2 linked regions of the Stegostoma tigrinum genome follow. The protein of the gene in region 1 interacts with the protein of each later gene in a biochemical or structural test. Links are inferred from orthologs where the notes say so. Each region holds a gene or a part of one and is shown on either strand. Other genes may lie near its edges.

Evidence for each region.
Region 2: of the proteins of mitogen-activated protein kinase 12-like (region 1) and serine protease HTRA2, mitochondrial-like, one has a biochemical effect on the other in vitro, tested with the Homo sapiens proteins (2 studies listed by BioGRID and IntAct, with this or other methods). The link is inferred for Stegostoma tigrinum from reciprocal best matches to the Homo sapiens genes MAPK12 and HTRA2.

The regions. Positions count from the first base shown.
Region 1 is NC_081378.1:27,509,385-27,517,276, reverse strand, and holds the start of mitogen-activated protein kinase 12-like, read right to left. Parts: upstream 3,059-7,892; 5' UTR 2,682-3,058; coding exon 2,569-2,681; intron 2,258-2,568; coding exon 2,128-2,257; intron 1-2,127. UniProt on the Homo sapiens protein: Serine/threonine kinase which acts as an essential component of the MAP kinase signal transduction pathway.
Region 2 is NC_081354.1:188,104,165-188,111,169, reverse strand, and holds the start of serine protease HTRA2, mitochondrial-like, read right to left. Parts: upstream 3,058-7,005; 5' UTR 3,041-3,057; coding exon 2,643-3,040; intron 1-2,642.

The DNA of each region.
Region 1 (7,892 bases):
AATCCAACAATTCACATGACACCTACAGAATATGTAAACATTAAAAACGATGAAATTATCCAGAAATGTTTGAAGTATTATGCATAGGAAGAAAGCGGCTGATAAATTACTTATTGATGAGATGGTTAATAACATGGTTGACCATTATCTAGGATATTATTAGGCTTTGTACTCAGTACACTGTTCATTGAAGAGTTGAATTTTGCGTCGAAGTGCTATCTATCACTGCAGCCAGACAATACTTTGAGCACTACAATACAACAGAAATAAGTACTTGAACAAAGGAGATGGCGCAAAGAAGTGTTGGGTCTTTGACCCCCAACCTATGAGGAATACTGTAGAAGCACAAACTTTGCACCCCCTAAAGATGACAGCATGTAAAAGTGAACAATATAGAAAAAGGAAGCCTGGAACATGAGCGCCTAAGCCATGAGACACTTTGGCATGATATTTGGAATTTAATCACATGAAAATATAGACTTATAAGTTGATTGGCAGAGGGAAGAACCCAGGAATGATTCAATATATTTTGGGTTGAGATGCTGACTGTGGATTCATTCAAGTTGGATAGATGGAGTACCACCCTTACTGGTCTCACTGATTAAGGGGAGGTGGTGAGGTAATACTAAGGTTACTGTATTAGTAATCTAGAACACTAGGCTAGAAGGTCTGGGGACATACATTCAGATTCAACCTCTGCAGATGATGAAATTCAGATTCAATAAACAAACTGAAATTTAAAAAGATAGCCTAATGCTGGCCAAGTAGCTACGTCAATTTTCAAAAATAACTCCACCTGGTTCGCCAATGTCCATGAAGAAAGGAATCTGCCATCCTTACTGGGCCTGGCTTACTTGTAACTCCAGATCCACAGCAATATGGTTATAGAGTCAGAGAGTTATACAGCATGGAAACAGACCTTCAGTCCAACCAGTCTATGCCAACCATAATTGCAAACTAAACTAGTCCCACCTGCCTGCGCTTGGCACATATCCCTCCAAACATTTCTTATTCATATACTTAGCTAAATACCTATTAAATATTGTAATTGTAGCCGCATCCATCACTTCCTCTTGAAGTTCATCCACACACGAACCATTCTCTGTGTAATAAAAAGCCCCTCATTTTTTTGTTTAAATCATTCTCCTCTCACCTTAAAAATAATGCTTTGTCTTGAAATCTGCCACCCTACGGAAAAGATGCCTCCCATTCTCCTTATCTATAGCCCTTATGATTTTATAAACCTTTATAAAGGTTGCCCCTCAACCTCCTGTGAAAAAAGTCCCAGCATATCCAGCTTCACCTTATAATTCAAATACTCCATTCCTGGTAATATCCTAGCAAATCTCTTCAGAACCCTCTTCAGCTTAGTAATATATTTCCTATAACAGGGAGGCCAGGGAGCACAGTACTCCAGAAGAGGCCTCATCAACATTCTGTGTAAACTTCAACATAATAGCCCAACATCTATACTCAAAAGTCCGAGCAATGCCTTCTTAACCGCCTTACATACATGTGATACAAACCTCAAAGAAGTATGTCTATGAACCCCTCGGTCTCTCTGTTCTACAACTACCTGAGGCCCTGGTTTTAAATGTGTAAGCAAGTTAACTCTTAACTACCCCCAGAAGAGTCTGAAGTCATCTTGCTGGACAAGAAACATTAAGTCTGATTTCCACTGATGCTACCAGACTTGTTCAGTTTCTCTAATATTCTCTGTATTTGCCACAGCAACGTGTATGACTCTCCACTGCTCTCTGGGCAATTAGGGATGGGCAATAAATGTTAGTCTATCCACGAAGAAAACAAAAATCTGATGACTTTGTTCCGTTTTCCCTTCCTCTCATCCATTACATTACTCCTCCCCTTCCTCAAATCGTTATGGGTAGCTAGCACTTACACACGGTCAACAATGGAATGAAAAATTGACCAGCAAAATCAAAACAGGATTATATAAGCAAACAAAGATTATTTAAGGCGTTTATTTTTCCAGAGATAAAACTAACAACCCTCCCATTTTATAAGGTGATATCGAAAATCGAAGATAAGAAATCTATTACAGTAGTGCAACTTCAATAAAACCCTGGTGTCACCATGTTTATACTTTTGAAATGATCATTCACTCACATTCTCGTGTTTCATGTGTTTCAATAGGCGAAGTTCCCGGTAAGCTCGTTTAGCAAATAACTCGGATTGAAAAGGTCGGTATAATTTCTTGATTGCTACTTTAGTGCCAGTTCGATTATCGATGGCTGAGCTGTGGGTCAAAAAAAAAATCAGAGATTGGTAAGAATGCATTTAGTGGCAAATATATCGCGAGTACACAATAACATATGGCAAGTTTTTTTTTGAGAACCCGGAAGAGCTGTGGGCCAGTTCACGACTTTTTCAGTTCACTCATTGTATTTAAATACATAGCGTTCGTTGAACGTGTATGTTTATGTGTATGTGTGTGCTTTTAAGCGTCAGATGAGGTGAAGAAATCATGTTGCCCATCACAGGGCAATTTTAAAAAAACTATCCGATCTCTTAAAACGAAACTGGGTAAGGAGATAAGATCCCACTTACCAAACACTTCCATAGGCTCCTGAGCCTACAGCAGCCAGCTCTGTGTATCTCTCCAGTACTTCCCAGGCTGTTTTATTAATCTCCTGGTAAGAGAAACCCTTTCTCGTTGTCATCGTAGCAATTTGGGACCCGCTCAGAATTATCCGAACAAGACGCTAGAAGCAAAAGTGTTAGTTTCTTCTACTTTTGTTTTCGTCCCAAAAGCCGCGAGTTTCAGAGCGCTGACCTCAGCTCCTTCACCCACCTTAAAACTGAGCTGAACGTGTTGAACTGGATGCTTTCATTGACTATCAATGAGTACAACTCTAGAGTAACTTAGAATAGTTCCCCTTTGTTCGGATTAGTGTGACTACTAGCTTCCTCTCTGTCTTTACTCCCTCTCTCTTTTCCCCCCTTCTGTAATATTCAATCGTTAGCTTCAAAGAAAAATCTTTGAACTTTATAAATCACGTGTTTGATCAGTATTTGCAGTGAGGTTGGTGTTTCGGGCGCTTTGAGTAAACATTGTCTATTGCCAGCAGCTGGATTGGAGACTGCCATCGCATGGAAGTAGTCGATCATAACAAGCCAGCTGCAAATGCTATTGCCAGAAACGGGGGGGGGCTGCAGAGAAAGTGAGATCTGCAGATGCTGGAGTCAGAGGTAATAGTGGGGAGTTAGATGAACACAGCTGGCCTGGCAGCATCAGAGGAACAGGAAAGCTGATGTTTCGGTCAGGACCCTTTGGTCAACTTTCCTGCTCCTCTTGTGCTGCCTGGTCTGCTGTGTTCCTCCAGCTCCACACTAAGATGCCGAAATCCAAGGTCGACAAGCAGGAGGCTGGAAGAACTCGGCAAGCCACGCAGCATCTGGAGGAAAGCAGGAGTCAATGTTTTGGGTATCACCCTTTGGTCCTGAAGCAGGGTAATATCTGAAATGTTGACTTCTTTCCTCCAGATGCTGCTTGGCTCACTGTGTTCTCCCAAACACCTGTTTTGTACACCAAATTCTACTGTCGCTGTGAACATTTTATAGAGGCTTCATAGCATCAAGTATTTCTGTAAACAGTATTAGAGTTGGTGATCAGTGCCACTTAAAACCAAAGTTTAAGTAGCACTATTCCTCATGTAAAATTTTTCCTCAACCTCCTCTCCACTGTTGATGTCCTGCTTTCTAATAAAGTCAGAATTCCAGTACTGCAAGATGGCTAGACGTGAAAGGATAAGGCTGACAACTTGTTTAGCCGTCAAGCATCAGCTATTTGGCTGGACCACCTAACAGTATGGAATCCTAGTCTTGGAAATCTGCTCCAGGGTTGTCCTGGAATTGAAGGATAATCTGTGGTTGCTTTTCTTGACTGCAGGCAATCTTCCTGCCTCTATCCTGTCTGCTCACCCTCACCAACAATGTCATGGAAGGACCTCGTGGAGGTCTGACACTCCGACTGACACAATCTCCTTATCTGGTGCTGCTGTCTCACTGCCTCCCACTACTCCAACTGACCAAACATCCTATAATACCCTCATGCCCTGATCCTGAATTCTCACTTTCTCTAGTCTCTTGATCACCCATAGTGTTTCCTGATCTCACTTTATTGATCAGACTCCCCTCCTCTTTCCTCAATCTTATTCCCACTAAACTGCTGATCAGCCAGTTTCCCCTCCTTGTTCCTTCCATCAGCAGATGTTGTAATTGTGATCAGGTAGCATAACGTTGACTTACTTCTAATGTCCTTTTTTTTCCTAATCCTATTGGCAGTTCGTTTCTCTCCAGTCAGTCAAATACCTTATGATATCATCACCTTCTATGTGGACCTTTTTTCAATGGATGGATGGAGATGCTAGGTTGCAGTGTCATCAGTTGAAAATCAGTATCTTTATGTGCCAACTTTCTCAAAGGAAATAACTAATGGAGAACATAAGCATTCAAAAAGCAGGACTTGCATTTGTACAGCATCTTTTACAACCTCTGGATGATCCTAACCATTTCAGACATCAAAAATATATTTTCATTTGGTCATGGGATATGGGTGCTACTTGCAAGGATGGCATTTCTTGCTTATTTCTAATTGCTCAGAGGGCATCTAGGGGCCTGCCACATTCCTATGGTCTGGAGTCATGTGTGCTAGATCAGGCAGGGATGGCAGATTTCCTTCCCCAATGGACATTAGTCAGCCAGATGGGGTTTTTATAACAATTGACAGTGTTATCGGATCATTGTTAGACCTAGCTTGTTATTCCTCATATAAAAGTATTGGATTTGAAGTTCACCATTTGTGATAGTGGGGATTCAAATCCATGCCCTTGGAATAGTGGTCGGGGGTTCTGGATTACTAAACCAGTTATATTACCAACCTCACCTCCGTAACCATTAACATGTAGAACACGGCAGCCTGTTTTTGCACAAACTGCAATCTGATCAGGAACAGACGATCTGTTTTTGTGATGTTCGTTGAGAAATAAAAATTAACCTGATCACCGGAGATAATTTTTTTGAAATAGTGCTGTGGGATCTTTCAAATCTACTTGAGACCAGAAGGCACCATGGTTTGATAAAATGTGAGGCTGGATGAACACAGCAGGCCAAGCAGCATCTCAGGAGCACAAAAGCTGACGTTTCGGGCCTAGACCCTTCATCAGAGAGGGGGATGGGGAGAGGGAACTGGAATGAAAAATTTTATTCCAGTTCCCTCTCCCCATCCCCCTCTCTGATGAAGGGTTTAGGCCCGAAACGTCAGCTTTTGTGCTCCTGAGATGCTGCTTGGCCTGCTGTGTTCATCCAGCCTCACATTTTATCATCTTGGAATTCTCCAGCATCTGCAGTTCCCATTATCTCAGGCACCATGGTTTAATGCCTCAATAGTAAGGCAGCATTAACGTGTATCACACTTCATTTTTACGAGCTCTAGGAGTGACGTTTGAACCAACAACTTGCTGAGCCTAAAGACAAAATGAAACTTAAGATTTCATGACAATGCAGGAAGACGGTACAAATAAATGTTATTTTCTGGGGAAAAAAATGTTTTTGGATTTTTGAACACAAGGAATTTTTTAATTTTCAAGGACGATGCTTTATTGCACATAATCCAACAGCGATTGCTGCTTTTTCTTTTTTTTTGTCACCTCAGTGCTTTGTTCCAGGCACAGCTGCCTAGTTACTCAATCTGAAGGTAGCTGTCTGATACAAGTATCACAGTTACCTGTAAACTTCTATGTCTCAGATTGGCCATGACTCTGACCCAGTTTTAATTGGAGCAAGAGGAGTGGTACTCAGTTACCCAAGCCACACCTCGTTAGAATTTACATTAAAACTGCATCTTCAGGGGCACTGCTAACATAATTAATAGGTGTGCAGTTCAATCATATGAAAAGATTCTAAAATAAGTAACAGAGTCCCAACCACTCCAAAGGGAAACCTCCCCGGCTGAGTCATAGTACAATCATCAGTGTCGCAGGTGTTCCATTCCCTGTGGTGACCACTGGTTGGAAAGGCTTCAATGGATGCTAGCCCCTGGGACCAGCAGTAATCACTACTACCTTCTAAGTAGCAGCTATGGGATTTAGAGCTGAGTAGACAGTCAATGGCATGTTCTACAATAATTAGATACAATTAAAGTCTACACCTTGGCAAAGAAACAATCTCAATGTGCATGATAGATGATTTGAAAACAAGAAATGTACCAACATATCATTGTGCAAAATAAAAGGTGCCTTTCATTTGAGTTCTAAGTTTCGTTTTTATGGTGTTTTATTTTCTAAAATAACCTGTAACTGTCAAAGATTAAGGGACTAAATTGCATAGCTTCCTTTATAAATGAATAAAATGTTTTTTAGTGCCAACAGAGCTAAGGGCATTCCACAGAAGGAGGGACAAAAACATTCCACAGAAATTGAGATGAGGTATAAAACGGTTGTATAATTTCCCAATGGTCAACCATTAGCATTCAGTAGTTTTCATGTTGTGAAAGTCTCACCACTGTTAATGCAGCTTCAGACTTGTACATCATGTAACACCAAATAATCTGAACAAAACTGTCACAAAATCACCAGCTTGACCTCCACAATACATTTTGTAAAAGTATACACACCTGTGATGTCAAATTTGTGACTTCATCTCCAGTTTCAGATGGCGTTTGTGTAAGGCACTATTGCTTTGATCTCAGATCTTGTATTCCATTTTATTTTAATCGTTCAAGATTCCCATCACTAGAACTGACTTCTGTTTTTCTCCATGTACCAATGTGTGAAATATCTTGTTTCTGAACTAAACCTAGGCATGCAAAATCCAACACTGGGCATCTCCAAAAGGCTGCAACTACCTTCTTTATCATATTTCTAGTCCAAGGAGGAAAGTGTCATTGCTTTCCTCCAGCCAGGGGAATGAGATCGATTTTTAAGAGAATCGAACATCAGGAGGGAAGGTTTCCAGGACCAATGAGCATAGCCTTCTATGTGTTAAAAGGACAAGGAGAAATCCAGGCTAAAAATAATAGGAGTCTTCGGAGTATTGATGTACAGAGAGATGTGGATGTGCAGGCCCACGGATCATTAAAGGCAGGTAGATAAGGTAGTTAAAAAGGCCTATGGCATGCATGCCTTCATTGGGAGGGGCATTGAGTAGAAGGATAGACAAGTTATGTTGCAGCTTTACAGACCTTCAGTTAAGCCACACTTGGAATATTGCGGAGAGTTCTGGTCGCCACACGACCAGAAGGATATGGATACTTTGGAGAGGGTACAGAAAAGGTTTGCCAGGATGTTGCCTGGCATAGGGGATTTTTGCTATGAAGAAAAGTTGGATAGGCTGGGTTTGTTTTCGCTAGAGTGCAGGAGGTTGAGGGGTGACCTGAAAGTAGTTTAAAAGAGTGTGAATGGCATAAATGGAGTGGAAAAATGACACGTTTTTCCAGGGTGGAGGGGTCAGTTTCTAGGGGACACAAGTTCAAGGTGTTGGGAGAAGTTCAAGTCAGATGTGCGAGACATTTTTTTTTCCAACAAAGGGTGGTGAGTGCCTGGAACGCGCCGGTGGGAGCATACAAGGAGGACCCGGACAAATACGTGAATAGGAAGGGAATAGAGAGATAGTTTGGAAGGGCAGAATGTGGCACAGGCTTGGAGAGCTTAAGGGCCTGTTCCCATGCTGTAATATTCTTTGTCTAACTAACTAGGAGAGGGCTACCTCTAATGGGATGAGAATGGCCCAGATACATCGGAATCAAAGAATAGCAGACACAATTTTGTGGAACAATGGGTCACCTTTAAATAGGAGAAAGTTGGAATATGGTCAGATACATTCCCATTGGGGGAAAGGTGGGGATAAATCCAGAGATCTCTGGATGACAGAAG
Region 2 (7,005 bases), on another chromosome or scaffold:
TCAGACCCATCATACATCAACTAAGCCCCTTTCCTCTCCTTCTCAACCATAAGATAGGCCATTCAGCCCACTGAGTCTGCTCCACCACTCAATGAGATCATGGCTGTTCTGATAATCCTCACCCCCACCTTCCTCCCTTTACCCCCCACCCCTTGACTCCCTCACTGATCAACCATCTGTCCATCTCAGCTGGAATGTACTTCATGACCCAAGCTCAACAGCCATCTACGGTTAAGAATTCCACAGATTCACTACCTTCACAAGAAATTCTGTCTTAAACGTGCAACTATTTATTCTGCAACGACACCGTCGGGTCCCAGACCCTCCCCAAGGGGAACCAACCTTTCCACATCTACGCTGTCGAGTCCTTGAGCAATCTTGCATATTTGCCTCGCACTCACCTAAATTCCAGTGAGTATACACACAACCTCATAACACAGAACAGTCCCTGTTGCTGCTCTGTTCTATAGCCTATCTTACAGTCAGCGGCATACAGCACAGAGACAGGCCCTTCTGTGAAACTCCTCCATGCTGACCAGCCTTCTTAAACCGAACCAGTCCAACTTACAGACAGAGGGTCCCGCAGCACAGAGACAGGCCCTTTGGCCCAAACTGGCCCATGCCAACGTAAAAGTCTATCCACGCTAACCCCATTTCCCTGCACTAGACCTTTCTAAGCCTTTCCTGCCCATGTGTTTGTCCAAATGCCTGCCAAATGTTGTTAATGTACCCGTCTCACCCACTTCCGCTGCCAGCCCATTCCATATGCGTACCACCCCCTGTGTACAAAAAGGTGCCCCTCAGGTTCCCAAATACCCTTTCAAGTTTGAGAGAGATAATTGCTCACACTCAAAGCCATGCTCGCCTTCCCTGATCAGTCCTTGCTTTTCGAAATACTGTAAATCCTGTTCCTCAGGATCCCCTTCAACAACTGATGCCAGGCTCACTGGTTCTCTGGCTTTTCATTGCATCTTTACTTAAATCACAGTACACTGTTAACACCCTCCAGTCTCCTGGCACCTCACCCATGACTGTTAAAGATATAAATATCTCTGCCAGGGGCCCAGCAATTTCTCCCCCAGCTGCCCACAATGTCCTGAGATACATACAGCACGGAAACAGGCTCTGGGGCCCAACCACGCCATGCCGAACATAATCTCAAACTAAACCAGTCCCACCTGCCTGCCCCGGCCCGTATCCCACCAAACCTTCCCTATTCATGAACTTATCGAAATGTCTTTTACATGTTGTAATTGTATCCACATTCACCACTTTCTCTGGCAGCTTATTTCACACACAAACCATTCACGGTGTAAAACAAGGGCCCTCATGTCCTCATAAGACGACGACGCCCTTGTCCTGAAATGCCCTGAACCCTGTGCTCAGCTTCCGGGGACTAATCTCCCTGGTATGTTTGTTGTTCTCTCAGCACCTCCAAATGTGTTTTTCCATTTAAGTGGTATTCAGCTCCTTATCCCCCCGGCCAAACCGCACAACGTCACATTTTCCCATTTTGTAATTCACCTGCCAAGCGATTCCGCCGGCCCCCCCCCCGCCCCCGCAAGTAAATATCTCAATAAGCCCCTGCAGACTCTCTCTCTCCACACCACCACCCCCGCCACATCAGCTTGGAGGACCCTCTTATACCCCAAGTCACCCCGCAGGCCTTCTTAACCGCCGCAATATCCCCACAGACACATGTCTCTAACCCCCATATATCCCTCTGCACACCCTCCCCAACTCCCGGACTCATCCCCCCAACGTCCTCTCAGAGTCGCGTCCTCCCCCCTGCACTCCCCCTCCGACCTCCATATATCCCTCTGCACACCCTCTCTGACCCCAGTACCCGCCTGCACACCCTCTCTGACCCCCATCCTCCCCCTTGCGCCCCCACATATTCCCCCCGTGCACCCTCCCTGACCCCCATACTCCTCCACCCTGCACACCCTCTGAGAGGCCCGTCCTACCCCCCGCGCTCCCCCTCCGAGCCCCACATGTTCCCCCGCAAAACCTCTCTAACCCACATACGAAACCCACACTCCCCCATCCCCCGTACACAATCACCCCGATGCCCTAATATCCCCCAAATACCCCTCTCTAAACCCCATGCCCCATATTCCCCCAACGCACCCTCTCTGACCCTAATACCTCCCCCATGCCTCCTGCAAACCCTCTCTGACCCCCATATCCCCCCAACGCACCCTCTCTGACCCTAATACCCCCCCCATGCCTCCTGCAAACCCTCTCTGACCCCCATATCCCCCCAACGCACCCTCTCTGACCCTAATACCCCCCCCATGCCTCCTGCAAACCCTCTCTGACCCCCATATCCCCCCAACGCACCCTCTCTGACCCTAATACCCCCCCCATGCCTCCTGCAAACCCTCTCTGACCCCCATATCCCCCCAACGCACCCTCTCTGACCCTAATACCCCCCCCATGCCTCCTGCAAACCCTCTCTGACCCCCATATCCCCCCAACGCACCCTCTCTGACCCTAATACCCCCCCCATGCCTCCTGCAAACCCTCTCTGACCCCCATATCCCCCCAACGCACCCTCTCTGACCCTAATACCCCCCCCATGCCTCCTGCAAACCCTCTCTGACCCCCATATCCACACCCCCCCCACCCCCGGTAATTACCTCCCCAGGATCTCGATGTAAACCACGGCGGGGCCTGTTTTCTCCACCACATCCGCGATGAAGTTGAACTTGAAGCGGGGACTGTCTGGGGGAACGGGCCGAGCGGCCTGTACCTGGGGGAGAAACAGCGCGGGGAGCCCGAGGCGTGAGGGCGGCCTGGGCTCTGTGCGGGCCTCGGCCTCCCGCTCCCGATCCCGCCACAGTAGCAGCAGCAGCGCCCCGGGGCCCAGGCCCCACCAGGTTTTGGAGTTAGAGCCTGCACCGGGCTCCTCGCCATCGGCCCAGGGCCTGAGCCCACACGCCAGTGCACGGAGCCCGGGCTGCCCCCCGCGGCCCGTCCCCAAGGCCCGGAGCCCGGGCCCGAACCAGCGGAGAGAGCGGGCAATGGGCGCCGCCATCTTGGAAACAAGAAGCAACTTTATTAACACCGTGTGGAGGTGAAGGGTCAAAGGGCAACAGGGTCAGGGTAATAGAGTGAGGGTGATAGGGTAACAGGGTCAGGGTAATAGGGTTAAGGTTATATGGCAATGGGGTCAGGGTATTAGGGTAACAGGGTCAGGGTCATAGGGTAATAGGGTCAGGTTAATAGGGTAACAGGGTTAGGGTTATAGGGTAACAGGGTCAGGGTAATAGGGTTAAGGCTATAGGGTAACAGGGTTAGGGTTATAGGGTAACAGGGTCAGGGTCATAGGGTTAAGGCTATAGGGTAACAGGGTTAGGGTTATAGGGTAACAGGGTCAGGGTCATAGGGTTAAGGCTATAGGGTAACAGGGTTAGGGTTATAGGGTAACAGGGTCAGGGTAATAGGGTTAAGGCTATAGGGTAACAGGGTTAGGGTTATAGGGTAACAGGGTCAGGGTAATAGGGTTAAGGCTATAGGGTAACAGGGTTAGGGTTATAGGGTAACAGGGTCAGGGTAATAGGGCCACAGGGTTAGGTGATAGGGTTAAGGTGATAGGGTAACAGGGTTAGGGTTATAGGGTAACAGAGTCAGGGTAATAGGGCAACAGGGTTAGGGTGATAGGGTGGTAGGGTTAGGGTGATAGGGTAGCAGGGTTAGGGTGATAGGGTAACAGGGTCAGGGTAACAGGGTTAAGGTGATAGGGTAACAGGGTTAGGGTTATAGGGTAACAGGGTCAGGGTAATAGGGCAACAGGGTTAGGGTGATAGGGTTAGGGTGATAGGGTAGCACGGTTAGGGTGATAGGGTAACAGGGTCAGGGTAACAGGGTCAGGATAATAGGGTTAAGGTGATAGGGTAACAGGGTTAGGGTTATAGGGTAACAGAGTCACGGTAATAGGGCAACAGGGTTAGGGTGATAGGGTGGTAGGGTTAGGGTGATAGGGTAGCAGGGTTAGGGTAATAGGGTAACAGGGTCAGGGTAATAGGGCAACAGGGTTAGGGTGATAGGATAGCAGGGTTAGGGTAACAGGATCAGGGTGATAGGATAACCGGGTCAGGGTGATAGGGTAACAGGGTCAGGGTAATAGGGTAACAGGGTTAGGGTGATAGGGTGGTAGGGCTAGGGTGATAGGGTAACAGGGTTAGGGTTATAGGGTAACAGGGTCAGGGTAATAGGGCAACAGGGTTAGGGTGATAGGGTAGCAGGGTCAGGGTAATAGGGTAACAGGGTCAGGGTAATAGGGTAACAGGGTCAGGGTGATAGGGTAACAGGGTCAGGGTTATAGGATAACAGGGTCAGGGTAATAGGGTAACAGGGTCAGGGTAATAGGATAACAGGGTCAGGGTAATAGGGTAACAGGGTTAGGGTTATAGGGTAACAGGGTCAGGGTAATAGGGTTAAGGCTATAGGGTAACAGGGTTAGGGTTATAGGGTAACAGGGTCAGGGTAATAGGGTTAAGGCTATAGGGTAACAGGGTTAGGGTTATAGGGTAACAGGGTCAGGGTAATAGGGTTAAGGCTATAGGGTAACAGGGTTAGGGTTATAGGGTAACAGGGTCAGGGTAATAGGGCCACAGGGTTAGGTGATAGGGTTAAGGTGATAGGGTAACAGGGTTAGGGTTATAGGGTAACAGAGTCAGGGTAATAGGGCAACAGGGTTAGGGTGATAGGGTGGTAGGGTTAGGGTGATAGGGTAGCAGGGTTAGGGTGATAGGGTAACAGGGTCAGGGTAACAGGGTTAAGGTGATAGGGTAACAGGGTTAGGGTTATAGGGTAACAGGGTCAGGGTAATAGGGCAACAGGGTTAGGGTGATAGGGTTAGGGTGATAGGGTAGCACGGTTAGGGTAATAGGGTAACAGGGTCAGGGTAACAGGGTCAGGATAATAGGGTTAAGGTGATAGGGTAACAGGGTTAGGGTTATAGGGTAACAGAGTCACGGTAATAGGGCAACAGGGTTAGGGTGATAGGGTGGTAGGGTTAGGGTGATAGGGTAGCAGGGTTAGGGTAATAGGGTAACAGGGTCAGGGTAATAGGGCAACAGGGTTAGGGTGATAGGATAGCAGGGTTAGGGTAACAGGATCAGGGTGATAGGATAACCGGGTCAGGGTGATAGGGTAACAGGGTCAGAGTAATAGGGTAACAGGGTTAGGGTGATAGGGTGGTAGGGCTAGGGTGATAGGGTAACAGGGTTAGGGTTATAGGGTAACAGGGTCAGGGTAATAGGGCAACAGGGTTAGGGTGATAGGGTAGCAGGGTCAGGGTAATAGGGTAACAGGGTCAGGGTAATAGGGTAACAGGGTCAGGGTGATAGAGTAACAGGGTCAGGGTTATAGGATAACAGGGTCAGGGTAATAGGGTAACAGGGTCAGGGTAATAGGATAACAGGGTCAGGGTAATAGGGTAACAGGGTCAGGGTGATAGGGTAACAGGGTCAGGGTGATAGGGTAACCGGGTCAGGGTAATAGGGTAACAGGGTCGGGGTAATAGGGTAACAGGGTCAGGGTTATAGGATAACAGGGTCAGGGTTATAGGATAACAGGGTTAGGCAGAGGAGACAATGGATCACTGGTCCCACGTCTTTCACTTTCCAAACCAACACCCCCACTTGGAGTAAAATTATTTTTTATTCCCTCACACAATATGAGCATCATCATCTGTGGGACCATTTATTGCCCTGTGCCTAGTTGCCCCGTGAGAAGGTAGTGAATGTGAGCTGCCTTCTTGATGACCTGCAGTCCCCCTGCCCTTGTTGGGGGGGATTTCCAGGATTTTGTCTCAGTGACAGTGAAGGAACGGTGATATATTTCCCCGGGGCATGGACAGGGTGAATAGACAACCTCTTTCCCCCAGGGTAGGGGGGGGAGTTCAAAACCAGAGGGGCATAGGTTTAACGTAGAGGGGAAGGATTTAAAAGGGGCAACATTTTCACGCAGACGGTGGTGCGTGTATGGAATGAGCTGCCAGAGGAAGTGGTGGAGGCTGGTACAGTTACAACATTTAAAAGGCATCTGGATGGAGACATGAACAGGAAGGGTGTAGACGGATATGGGCCAAATGCTGGCAAATGGAACAGGGTCACATTGAGATGTCTAGTTGGCACAGATGGTTTGGACTGGCTTCTTTGCTGTTCGGCTCTATGACTGTCAGTCAGGATGGTGAGAGGCTTGGAAGGGAACTTGAAGGGAATGGTGTTCCCATGTATTTGCTACCCTTGTCCATCTAGACTGAAGTGGTCATGGGTTTGGAAGGTGCTGTCCATCTTGGGTAAATTGCTGCAGTGCATCTTGCACACTGACCATATGATAAGAGATAGGAGCCATTCAGCCCATCGAGTCTGCTCCCCCCATTAAATGAGATCATGGCCGATCTGATAATTCTGAACCCCACTTTGGTACCATTTCCTGTAATCCTCAATTCCCTTACACATTAAGAATCTGTCCAAGATGCTGCCTAACTGCATCAATGGTGGAGGGAGTGAATGTTGAATATGATGCCAATCAGGCTTTTGGAGTCGTGTTTCTTACGCGTTCTTCGGTCTCAGTCAGTGGGGAGTTTTGCATCATGCCCGTGCCTTGGGGAGTCATACCTGACTCATAGGAATCTGGTTGTGGTTGTGGGAGGTCAATCATCTCAGCCCCAGGACATCTCTGCAGGAGTTCCTCAGGGTAGAGTCTCAGGCCCAACCATCTTCAGCCGCCACATCAAAGACCTTCCTTCATCATAAGGTTGCAAAATGTTCAGCACCAGTCGTGAATTCTCAGATAGTGAAGCTGTCTGTGTTCACATGCGACAAAATGGGGTGCTGGGCTGACAAATATGACGTGAACCAGCTAAGGCTGGAATAAGGAGGCCTGAGAGTAAGTAAGAATGGAACTAAAACAAATAGTAATGTGTTCTTCAAGCATATTAATAGTGAAAGATTAGTGAAGGATAGGGTTGGACCTATGAGGAACAAGGAG